Linked DNA regions of Diceros bicornis minor. The protein of the gene in region 3 purifies or fractionates together with the protein of the main gene of each other region. This does not show direct contact. Links are inferred from orthologs where the notes say so. Each region holds a gene or a part of one and is shown on either strand. Other genes may lie near its edges.

What was found.
Region 1: the proteins of WDR5 (region 3) and TAF7 purify together in Homo sapiens (affinity purification with western blotting; 3 studies listed by BioGRID and IntAct, with this or other methods). This does not show direct contact. The link is inferred for Diceros bicornis minor from reciprocal best matches to the Homo sapiens genes WDR5 and TAF7.
Region 2: the proteins of WDR5 (region 3) and BOD1L1 purify together in Homo sapiens (affinity purification with mass spectrometry; 4 studies listed by BioGRID and IntAct, counting the BioPlex papers as one, with this or other methods). This does not show direct contact. The link is inferred for Diceros bicornis minor from reciprocal best matches to the Homo sapiens genes WDR5 and BOD1L1.

Annotation. Positions count from the first base shown.
Region 1 is NC_080740.1:59,489,530-59,493,274, forward strand, and holds TAF7 (transcription initiation factor TFIID subunit 7), read right to left. Parts: upstream 2,878-3,745; 5' UTR 2,633-2,877; intron 2,510-2,632; exon of another isoform or gene 2,257-2,509; 5' UTR 2,170-2,256; coding exon 1,120-2,169; 3' UTR 592-1,119; downstream 1-591. UniProt on the Homo sapiens protein: The TFIID basal transcription factor complex plays a major role in the initiation of RNA polymerase II (Pol II)-dependent transcription.
Region 2 is NC_080747.1:10,457,520-10,461,264, reverse strand, and holds the start of BOD1L1 (biorientation of chromosomes in cell division protein 1-like 1), read left to right. Parts: upstream 1-879; 5' UTR 880-978; coding exon 979-1,215; intron 1,216-1,325; exon of another isoform or gene 1,326-1,537; coding exon of another isoform or gene 1,538-1,654; intron 1,655-3,745. UniProt on the Homo sapiens protein: Component of the fork protection machinery required to protect stalled/damaged replication forks from uncontrolled DNA2-dependent resection.
Region 3 is NC_080767.1:41,024,821-41,028,565, reverse strand, and holds the start of WDR5 (WD repeat-containing protein 5), read right to left. Parts: upstream 2,394-3,745; 5' UTR 2,333-2,393; intron 1,715-2,332; 5' UTR 1,637-1,714; intron 332-1,636; 5' UTR 276-331; intron 1-275.

The DNA.
Region 1 (3,745 bases), on a different chromosome or scaffold from region 3:
TGAGGCATTAGAATCTTGAGAGCCTGGAAAGTTTAAGAACATGAAAATTATGTTTAAGAAATTCTGAAATATCAGACTACAGTACTGACTTCCTTTATGAGCAATTTTGACCAACTGACATGGACAAATCACTTCAGTTCTCAGAATATTAAATAATTGCAGAAATTAAGTTGAAAATATTTAGAAATACAATCTTAATCCAAACCAATGGAATGATTCAATGAACAGTACTTGATAGCCCTTACTTTGTTTTGTTTCTAATATTTTAAGCAGATGTGTAGTACTTAAAAAAAAAAAAGATAAAAATAGACCTACATGTACAAAAATTAGGGTAGTTTAGGAAGGTTCTGTACCTAGTGTTTCCTAACTTCCAAATGGAGCAGGTGGATTGGAAACTTAATATAATGCAAAGATGACATTTCCCAATTTCTTTGCCCCCCGCTGTTGGGTTTTCCCTAAAACCCAACATAACTGTTTCTTTCCCTACAAAACACGATCAAATTGCTCAGTCATTAAATCCCACCAAGAAACCACCTTATAAGAGGATCTGACACACCCACTACCCCTAAAAAAGGAAGACACATTATGAGGTGAAAATTAGTTGCTTTTATTTATTGTGTTAAAACAACTTTAAGAAACTATTTGCAACTCTACATGTGGAAAATTGCTTGGAATAGCTAGGAAAATAGCTACTGCATAGGAAAACATATGCAAACTAGCTTCACTGCTTCCAGACTAGACTCTTATTGATCTCAGATGTCACCACAAAGCAGCAACACCAGCTTTTGGCAAATGGAGAAATAGCAGCAAAGTCCTGCAGTGAGGCTGTGATTACTAAGGTTGAACTGTTCATTCCACTAACCCTACAACTTTCCTACAATCACTTATCTGTCTATACATTCCTACTTTTTACAGGACAAACACCTAGCAAAGTGGTTCTGAGAGACAAATGAAATAGAAATTCACATTTATATTTGTTTATAAAACAAACACAATAGAAGGCAGTGGAGGAAATCAGAACTATTGCAAAATTATAATATCTAGTCCAGGTGATGAAGCCAAGAACTTTCCTTTAATGTTGACTAGTCTAAGGAATGAAATTCAGTATCAAAGCTCTTCTCACTTCTCTAGGAGTGATTCTAGCTCTTCCTGCAAAGAGCTGAGCTGCTCCTTTTCTCGGTCTTCCTTTTGTTTGAGTTCATCCAGCACAGCCTGAAACCTGTTCTTGAGGGCCAGGTTTTCTACTTTCATGATGAGATCTTCCTGTCGCTTTGCCCTGTCCTGTGTCTCCTGGAGCTTGCCTTTCATGTTATCAATCTGTTTCTGAATTCCCATAACCAGCGGATTAGTTCCCTCATTTTCTTGGTGCTGTTCATCTGATTCATTTAGCTTGTCCTGTAGCTGTCTTTCCAGATCTTCCTCAGTGTCAATGATGTTTATATCTTCTTCATCCTGATGCTGTGTCTCATCTTCGTCTTCACTGCTGCTGCTGAGATCATTGAATATCTCCCGAAGCTCATCGTGTTCTAGTGAGTCATGGCCCTGCCTGTGGCCAGACATTCCTGGAGAAGAGATATCAAGGCCTTGATTTTCTGTTTCTTTTGTTTCATCTTCAGCAATTATTTCCCAACGAGTACTGACAGCTTCAGCATCTGTACTCAGCAACCGCTTCACTTCTTTTTCCACATCTGGAGATTCAATATACTTCTTCTTTGCTGTCTTCCGGAACCTTCTCTTTCTGACATTTTTTAGAGGCAGAGTAATTCCATGGTTCCATATAAACTTCTTCTCTTTGTCCTTATCCTTTTTCTTGCTTGCTTTGGGATCAGCAGTAGCAACTGGTTCCTCCACAGGAGGGCACAGATCACCATCAACTGTGGAGACAAGCATCTGACAGATATCAGCTGTCTTGTAAAAAGTTTTTTTATCAATGGTTTTCAGACTTTCCATAACACACGGCAGATCTACCAATTTGGAGGCCAGTGGGACCCGGTCCACTCTGACGATTCCATGACGCCCATCAGGGTGTAGCTCAATTGTCAGTCTGTCCTTCAGGTTGACATGACCAGACTGTACTGCCCGCCTCACAGTAGAGGCATATTCTGGAGGTAGCCGTAAGATAAACTGGCTTTCTAGTTCGTGAGGAGCATCATCTTTGCTCTTACTCATCTTTATTTCTTTCAGACTCACTTCTCCAATAACCACTTGTTGCACTAAAAAGTTCCAGCTATTGCAGCAGTTAGAAAGACCTGTTTGCTATGAATGGAAATCTTTAATTACAAATAGTTCTCGGTAGTACAGCAGCTAAGCATCTATTTTCTCTTAATTTTGAATTAAGCCCCAAGTCTTTCTAAATATTCTGTGCCTGAATACCAGTGGTTACTGACACCATGACTTATTCAGTTCGGTCCATTTAGATCTACTAGCTGCAATGCCAAGTTCCAACCTCTAGATGCCGCTGCCGAACAATGCAGAGAGAGCAAGCTAGCAAGAAAGCAAATGGCGGCTCCTGCAGAAAGATTTTCGGCACAGAAAGTAAGGCCCAGCAGACACTCCCAATCCACAAAAGGTCCCGGAACAAAGATATTCAAAAAGCGGAGCGCAGTGAGCTCTCTTCGCCTCGGGTACTTACAATCGAGTGACGACTATAAACCCAGCTTATCCAGACAGGAGCCAGCGGAAGCAGCAGCAACTCGGCGCGAGGCGGCCGGGCCGAGCGTCTCCTTCCTGATTCCTTTGTTCTTCCCGGCTCGTAGCAAAGCGATCCGCTACTGCTTATCAATGAAATGGCCCAGGATGGGCAGCACGAAAGCTCACCGGGACCCGCAGCGCCCAGCGCCAAGCTGCAGCTCCGCAGCGAGACAAACCTCTGGGCGGAGCTGCAGACGTAGCGGAGGAGAAAGCACTACGTCACTGCGCGAGGCGGCCAGCGGCTGTGAGTGACAGCACGCCTCACGCGGAAGTACGAACTGCCCCAGCGCGCGCAGGCGCAACGCACAATTACGCTATCCGGCGTGATTTGGCTTCTCGCGAGAAGTTGGCTTTACGCGTTAAAAGTGACAGTGTTTCATAAACAGTTATTGGTTTGAGAAAATTTAGAGAAAACGGTTCCAAGAAAGACGTAGGTCCTGCCGCCACCCCCGTCGCTGAGCCAGAACTTTCACCGGATCGCCGTGGGGCGGGACAGCGTCTAGGCTTCCGGGTGATTTCCGGAAATAGGGCGTCCGTGCGCAAAGCGTCTTTGCTTCTGGAAACGGCTCGGATGCTCCCCCGGGTATATCCAATATGGAGCCGATACAACAATTTATAGTTAACCATACAGTGGATTTTAAAGTACCCAAGTCAGTCGAGTGAGGAGGACATGCTGCTCACTATATAATTCTATTTTTTGTTGTTGATTATGAAAATGCCCAAAGGGGACTCATGCCTCAGGGTCTGTTACCGTTTTGACGGACCCCAAGGGAACAAGGGTGATTTCTCTTTTTAATATGTTTAGTTTAGATATAAATGTAAACAGAGAAGTAAGTGTTCTTCTGGAGGCACGTATTTGTTTAGATCAGAGTTGTCTGGTAGACAAATAGTCTGATCGAAGTAGAATATAACTGAAGTGTTACTACCTGCCACTCACTTGCCAGTAATTTTTAAATAGTTCGGAATGTTTTTCATTCCACCCTTGCTGTTTTGATAACTGTTTTCTGCTTGTCTCTTCTCTGGGTATTCAGGTATTCATCAACACGTATTTATA
Region 2 (3,745 bases), on a different chromosome or scaffold from region 3:
AAATCCTCCTGTCTTTAGCAAAAGATGATATTTAAGACAAGAATTTCTGCTATTGTGTTGAGAAACGCAGTGTCCCTGGTTTCTCCCATGTTTACATGTTATTAAAATTGGTATTATTTTCTCCTGCTAACCTGTCTTGTTAATTATTTGGCCAGCCATAAGAACCTAAGGGAAAGGGCAGAGGGGGATTCTCCCTCTTTCCCCAACATTATCAAATAGAAAAACCCTTACAACTAAAAACCCATGGGTTTGTGTTCACCGGCAGGAAGAAGGTGCTGGAGGGATGGGGTTCTAGTCAGCAGGCACACTTGGAGAGTAATAACAGATGCCTAAGGAAAAACAGGATGGGGCTGGGAGAAGAGATACAGGAGGCCCCCGAAGCTCCCTGCTTAGAAGAAATCTGGGCAGGATCATAGCCTGAGAACGAAAAGGGTTGGGAGAGCTTAGGATAAGCAGTTCCACGCACGGTTCGCATTCTCAAATCTATGGGTCTCAACTGCTGCGGGAAACAGGAGAGAGCGCGTCAGGCCTAAATGCCACCGTGGATCGAACGGGCCAGCGCCTCCCTCCCCCGCCGGGGCCTGCTCCGAGCAGGCGCCCAGTCGGCCCTCCCGCCAGGGCAGTCGCGCGGGTCGAACGCCCCACCGCCTTGGACTCCAGGCCCCCGCCCCGGCCCAGACCCCGCGGCCCACGGCGCGCTCCGCCTCCTCCCCGTCGCTTCCGACGCAGCCCGGCCGCGCGAGGGCGCCGGCGCCCGGCGGCGGCCGGAAATGGCCCCTCGCGGCTCCCGTCGCCGGACCTTCGTTGCTATTGTCACCTCCTTTTCCTCCCTTCCCCCGGTTCCCTTTCACTTCCGGGGTTGCTCTGGATCCGCTGGTTCCGTAACAACATCCCGTTGGCTTCCCTTAGGCGGCGGGACCTGTGCAGCCGCCGCCTCCCAGGAGCGCCCGCCCGCGCCCTCCCCGGCCCCAGGCCGCCATGGCCACCAACCCGCAGCCGCAGCCGCCTCCTCCGGCGCCGCCGCCTCCCCCGCCGCAGCCGCAGCCGCCGCCGCCACCACCGGGCCCCGGGGCTGGTCCCGGCGCGGGCGGGGCAGGCGGCGCGGGGGCCGGCGGCGGGGACCCGCAGCTCGTGGCCATGATCGTGAACCACCTCAAGAGCCAGGGGCTCTTCGACCAGTTCCGCAGGGACTGCCTGGCCGACGTGGACACCAAGGTTCGGGCGCGCGGGGCTGCGGGTGTGCGGGGGAAGGGGAGGACCCCGAGGGCCGCCTGCTCGAGCGGTCTCCCGCGCCCGTCGATGGGCCGGCTGCGCCTCGACTTCCCGGCCGGGGCCCCTCTCCAGCGCGCCTCTCCCCGAGTCCCCCGTGCAGCCGCTTCCTCTTCGCGCTGCTGCCCTGTGCCCGGCGCTGTGCAAGGCGCGGTGCGTTCATTCATTCGCCTGTGCGCCCGTTCGCTTAACCGACTAGTGGTGAGCACCTACTACGCTGCCGAGGCGCTGGGAACCTACCGCTGAGCAGGACCAAGTCGTTGTTCCCATGGAGACTCGTTTGGAAACACCAACGCTAACGGTGCTTTCATCTCTGATTAGTTTTCTTCCCGGTTTAGTTTGTATCCAAGTTATTTTTGCCTCCTCTCTTGAAGATTTCTGGGCGGTAAGGGTCATGTCTTTATTCTTTGGAGGAATTATTAAGTGATAATTGAGTCAGATTTGCAATGTGCATTTCTGGACATTGTAGGGATGCAAAGGTAGGGAGGCAGAGCTGGACAGTGGCAAGATGGGTTGGGGAGATCCGGGACTTTTGTTTCTACCAGTAACCGCTTCGTTTAGGTAGCTTAGGCCAAGTTACTCCTCTAAAGTGAGAAGGGAGGGAGAGGTGAGGAGTAGAGACAACTGAGCCATGCCGTGGGGGAAAGGATGGAGGAGAGGTGATAGCAGATATTGAAGTGGAGAAAGGACAGGACATGAAATGGAAGAAGAGTGAGTTGAGAGAGTAAGGGAGAGAGGGGAAAGGTCAGCAAAGTGGTTCCCTTCACAAAACGAGTTAGGGACTGGGAAGGGAAAGGGACTTTGTACCAAATGTCAGAGTGAGAGGGATGTTGGCAGAAACAGGTAAACTTAGCTGGTTTGGCAAAGAATGAGCAGAGGACACCAGGAAGAAGCCATCAGGTGAATTGGATGGAAAACCAGTAGGGTCTGGAATTCTGGAAGCAAGTGAAGCAGGAAGCTTCAGGTGGAAACAGTTGGAAAAGTGGGGGTGTTTTTGGTTTAGATCTGGTTGGATCCATGGAATTGGAGTTTTGATGGGGTGAGAGTTTCCTTGTAGCATGTTCGGCTGTTCTGAGGAGACTTGTTTCTTTGGGAAAGGGTTGTTTGCAACATACGCCGATTCTTCCCTGTGACTGTGTTCACCAGGCTTTGAGGTGAACTGCACAAAATCCCGCTGTCTCCTCTGGGAAAGCCCTCCTGACAATCTGGGGACATCTTCCCTTTTAAGGACTCTGGCCCACCATGTAGAACAGAAGTAAAATTTGCCTTTTCAGCATGTTGGAGTTTTTGCACACGGAGAATTCATTTTACATGGGGATGTTGATCTGTGTAGGAAGTATATAGTTTTCTCACTTTGTTTTAGAGAATATGCACAGCTACCTTTTTGAAAATAACTTTTGGAAAATAAAGAGGCTTGTTGCCTCTTTCTTTTTTTTTTAATGGAAGATTAGATTAGATGTGGCCAGGTAAATATTACCCAAATACACCTGGTTATTTGTATCGGGCAAGTAAAGATTTCATTTTGCTGTTCTCAGAAACCTACAGATCTCTGTTATCACTGTATATGCAAATTGAAAATTTAAATATACTGATGGGGGTGCTGCAGTATCTAAGGTTCAACTTTTTCTTCATCCCCATCCCCACTAAATGTTGTTGTTGTGTGCCAGATCCTCTCAAGGTGGAGCCTTCGAACCTTTCTTGGGAGGAAGGAGGGAAGCACAATTGCTTTGACAATCTGATGAAAGCTAGGACCTTCTCCCAAGAAGAATGCACATATACACATTAAAATGCTGTTTTTATAATTCAAAAATGGTCAACTATAGGCAATTTCATGTGATTCAACCTTATAGTTTCAGGGAATTCAGGGACCGCAGAATAAAGATTCCTTGTTTTAATGTTTGAGGCTAGAGAAGAACAGAACTGAAAGGATACCCCCACCCTGACAGAAGGGGGTGCCTGGGTATGGTTGAGATTGAAGTTCTCTCCTCACTCTTCATGTGTGCTCGCTCTCTCTCTCTCTCTCTCTCTCTCTGTCTCCGTCTCTCTCTCTGTCTCTCTGTCTCTCTCTCGTCTTTCTACCTCTGCACCTGTTGTTTCTGATTTTCTTGCTTCTTTCCCCGTTGACTATCTCCTTTTTCCTCCTCCTTCTCCTCCTGCTTTTCGTCCTCTTAGCTAGCAATTACGTAGATTTCAGTTTAAAATATTTGCTTTTGTTGAGTAGTGCTTTATACTCCTTTTCCTTATCTAAAAAAAAAGAGTAAGTTTGAGAGTCTCAAGAAACATACAAAAACCAAAGTTTTTTTTCATATAAGCTTAACATTCCTATCATTGTGATGAGTGGGCCAGAGTAGAAATAAGATTTCCTATTTGTGCACAGGAGCATCACTTTAATGGAATCCTTGGGTGTCAGCTCTTAAGAACACCTTACAGTTTAGACCTTTTGTGGTATGGTGCTTTTGATAATTGAACCCTGAAG
Region 3 (3,745 bases):
AGCATTATTCAAGAGAGCCACCAAACTGTTCTTGCAAATATCACTGGCCATCCAACTCCCGAAAGCCAACACTACCATCAATCTACCAAGTTTACACACTGTGAATCCTCGCTCAGAGCTTAACACTGAAAGCTTGCACAGGCTCCTCGTCACACCAAGGCGAAACGGGAGCCATCCAAAAAGAGCATGTCTCAAAGCCTTCATCCAAGCGGAAGGAAGAGACATCACAATGCAACACGGCTGTGCAGAGCACACGTGCGGCCACGGCTGGTTACCTGCAGCAAGGATTCCAGGCCCAGGGACGGATCACGCTGCACCCAGAGCCCGAGTCCTGAAGTGGGGGAGCGGAGGGGCAGGTCAGGGAAACCTGCCAGGGACGAAGTGTCGGCACAAAGCTGGGGCTCAGTAACCACCAGCTACTGGTGATTATCTTTAATGCAACTGGGCTGTGCCAGTTAACCCAAGGGCTGCCTTCCCCTTCGTAGGCTGCACAAGCGGAGGGAGAGAGGAGCTAAGGCAGAAAGCTGGAAAGTCTGTTTCACAGAACCTACAGTGTGAAGAAGCCCGGCCACAGCAAGGAGGGTGGAGAAGAGTGGACCACAGGCGCCAAGCAAAACACCAGTGGGAACAGAAGAGGCTTCCTCTGGGGTGAAAAGGGTAGCTCAGGGGACCCAGTGCAGCTCCTTTTAGCATAAAAATTGAGACCCACCAGGAGGTGGAGTGTGACTCCCGCAAACAACTGGCTGCCCCAAGGTGAGGACCAGAGGCTACAGCCGTGGTCCTACAGGAAAGGTGCCCAGCCCTCCCAGCTCAAGCCCAATCCCAGGCTAGCAAACATTAACTTGCAAAAAATCAGCCAGACTTTTAAGAATACAATCAATTAACTCAATGCTCCAAGTTTCTACTTAAGAAGGGGGGAGCTTGGCATTTTTCATAAACACTCATGATTCCGTAGAACAATCTTTTTTGTTAATACTTTTTTTCTTGCTTTTTCTTTGAGGAAGATTGGCCCGGTGCTAACATCTGTTGCCAATCTTCCTCTTTTTTTCTTTTTACTCCCCAAAGCTCCACTACATAGTTGTGTATCATAGTTGGAGAGTTGTAGCTCTTCTACATGGGACACCACCTCAGCATGGCTTGATGAGCAGTGAGGAGGACCGGGCCCAGGATCCAAGCCGGCAAACCCTGGGCCCCCAAAGCGGAACCCACCAACTTAACCGCTACGCCACCAGGCGGGCCCCAGAACAATCGTTTTGAGACAACTGGGAAGCTGGTTAGGGACCAGCTCCTTAGGAAAGAGAACTGGAGATGATGAACGCAATCAGGCTGCAGGAAAGGCCATAGGGAGTCGGCCCCCAGAGCACGTGCTACCTGCCACCTCTTTGCACCCACAGCTTTTTCCCAGGTGAGCCTGACCACCTAAGGCCGAGCCTCCCAAACCTTGGAGAGCTCTCCTAGACTGCTTGTAAAATGCAGATTCCTGGGCTCCCCCAGAGACTGGGCCCACAGGTGTGGGAAGACAGGACGTAACTGGTGCCTCAAAGGCGGCAGCCCCTTAGACCCACAGAGAGTGGGGGAACCTGGCTCTCCCTGCCTCGGTTCTGGGACACGCAGACACGCTTCCGTTCCAGCTTACCTATCTGCCTTGTGCGGGGCGGGCCAACCTCAGAGGCAGTGTCGACCACAGCACCTGCCAGGGCTTCGGTGAACGGACCTGGGGGGCAGAAACCGGGTGAGAAGGCTAGGAGGGAGGGAGAGAGGGAGTCTTTCACCTCCCTCAAAATGGCTCTAGCAGACCAGACAGGAGATGGTCTCTCCCTTCGTGACAGCGGACCGGCACGCGGGGACCCCGTCCTGGGACCTCAGGAGCGAGGGGGCCTGGCTGCCTCGGGCAGAGGGTGGGCAGCAGGTCGGGTGGCGGCGTCTCTGCAGAGGAGGGGCAGTCAGGGCTGCAGGCACGGGGGGCCGGGGCCTGGGGTCCTTCCCCGGAGGAGCGGCGGAGGCACAGCGGAGAGGCACGCCGGCTGCAGGGCAGAGCCGCCGTGCCGGCCTCGCGCTTGTCACCGACCGCGGGGAGAGGCAGCCGGGGGGCGGCCGCGCGTGCGGGCGGGCTCCGCAGGGGCGGGGCCGGGGCCGACGGGAGGAGGGGGCGCGGCGCCCGAGGCGAGGCGGCGGCGGGGCGGCCGTCCGCCCGCACGGGGCCCGGGGCTGGGCCGGCCCGCGGCCGAGGCCGGGCCCGCCAACACGTGCGGCGGCGGGGCGGCGTGGGGTGCGGCGGCGCCGGCCCGCCCCGCGCCCCCGAGTGTGCCCACCGGGCGGGCGGCCCCCTTACCTCCGGGCGCGCCGGGCGGGGCGGGCGCTCGGGCGTTGCGTCGGCCGCCGCCTGGGCGGGAGCCGGGCTTAGCTCGACGAGGCGGCGCGGGGCCGGCAGTGCGCGTGCGCGTGCGCCAGGGGCGGGGCGGCGTCGGGGCGGGCAGTGCGCGTGCGCGTGCGCCAGGGGCGGGGCGGCGCGGGGCCAGCAGTGCGCGTGCGCCGGGGGGGGCGGCGTCGGGGCGGGGCGAGCGCACAAAGCCAGCCTCTCGAAGGGGCGCTACGGGGAGCGGCGAAGGGCAGAATGCCTCGGGCAGGCCCAACGCCTTAAAGGGACCGCGTGCTGCGCGCGCTTCCTGCTTAAAAGCGTGAACGCCAAAGGTGGCCGGTGCGTCCCCTTCTTGTCCTGCACTTTCTAAAAACGGAAGTAGGATGATACCTACAGGAAAGGCTAGCGTGCCCCTCGCATGTTCACGTCCCGAGCTCGCCCCGCGAGGCGCCTCCGGGGAGGAGCACCGCTCCTATGCGGGATTGGAGGGGCAGCGGGGCCCTAACCTTTCTTCTGGGATGGGCATGTCCTGGATCGCGTCCCTCCTTCCTTGTGGCGCTCGCTGATGGGCGGCAGCTAACGCGTGCAGAGCGTCTAGCCGGCCCTGGCCGTGCTCGGCGCCTAGTATCTCAATTAATGCTCGGACACCTCTGCACAGGGGTCCTTACCTTCTACTTTGAAGCCAGGAACCTGAGCTCCGAAAGGTTCAGAATCCCTGCACTGCGCCCACGAGCTCTCCCGCAGGGCCGGCTGCCTGGTTGGTGCTCTTCCCGCCTCCACGCAGAGAGCCCGCGGGGCGCACCTGCTTCTCTCCTGCGCCCCCCAAGAAGGAGAGTCAATACTAACAGTCACTGCATGCAGGCTGCTCTGCTGTCTGCAAGGTGATGTCACAGACAGGTAGGCTCACCTCCAGTTACAAATGTGGAAGGGGACGCCAGAGAGGAGGGCTCAGGGCCATGAGGAGAACCTGGAGCCACCGTTCTGGCCCTAAGTCCCGCGCATTCTCACCCTGCTGCCCCACTTCTGCTGCCCACTTGGGGAAGTGGTGATGGTCTCGGCAGCTCCATGGCCTCAACCCAGGCCTGTGGGTAGAATTACGTGCAACCTATTTCCCAATTAAAAATGGGAACACCAAATACGACACAGGAACCTGTGCAAACAGAAGGACAGAGCATTTGAAATGGAAATGCCCAGAGAATGTGCATGAGGTGTGTGGTTGTCAGATGCAGGAGCCAAAGACTGGTGGCTTATCTGGAGCCCCCCACGGAGGAAGCAGGGGCAGCAAAGTCCCCATCTGGCCCTGGCATGGCTCCGTGTGGATCTCTGTACCCAGGAGGCCTAGTCACCTTGGGCCAGGTGCCCTGGAGCATGAGGCGGTGATTATCG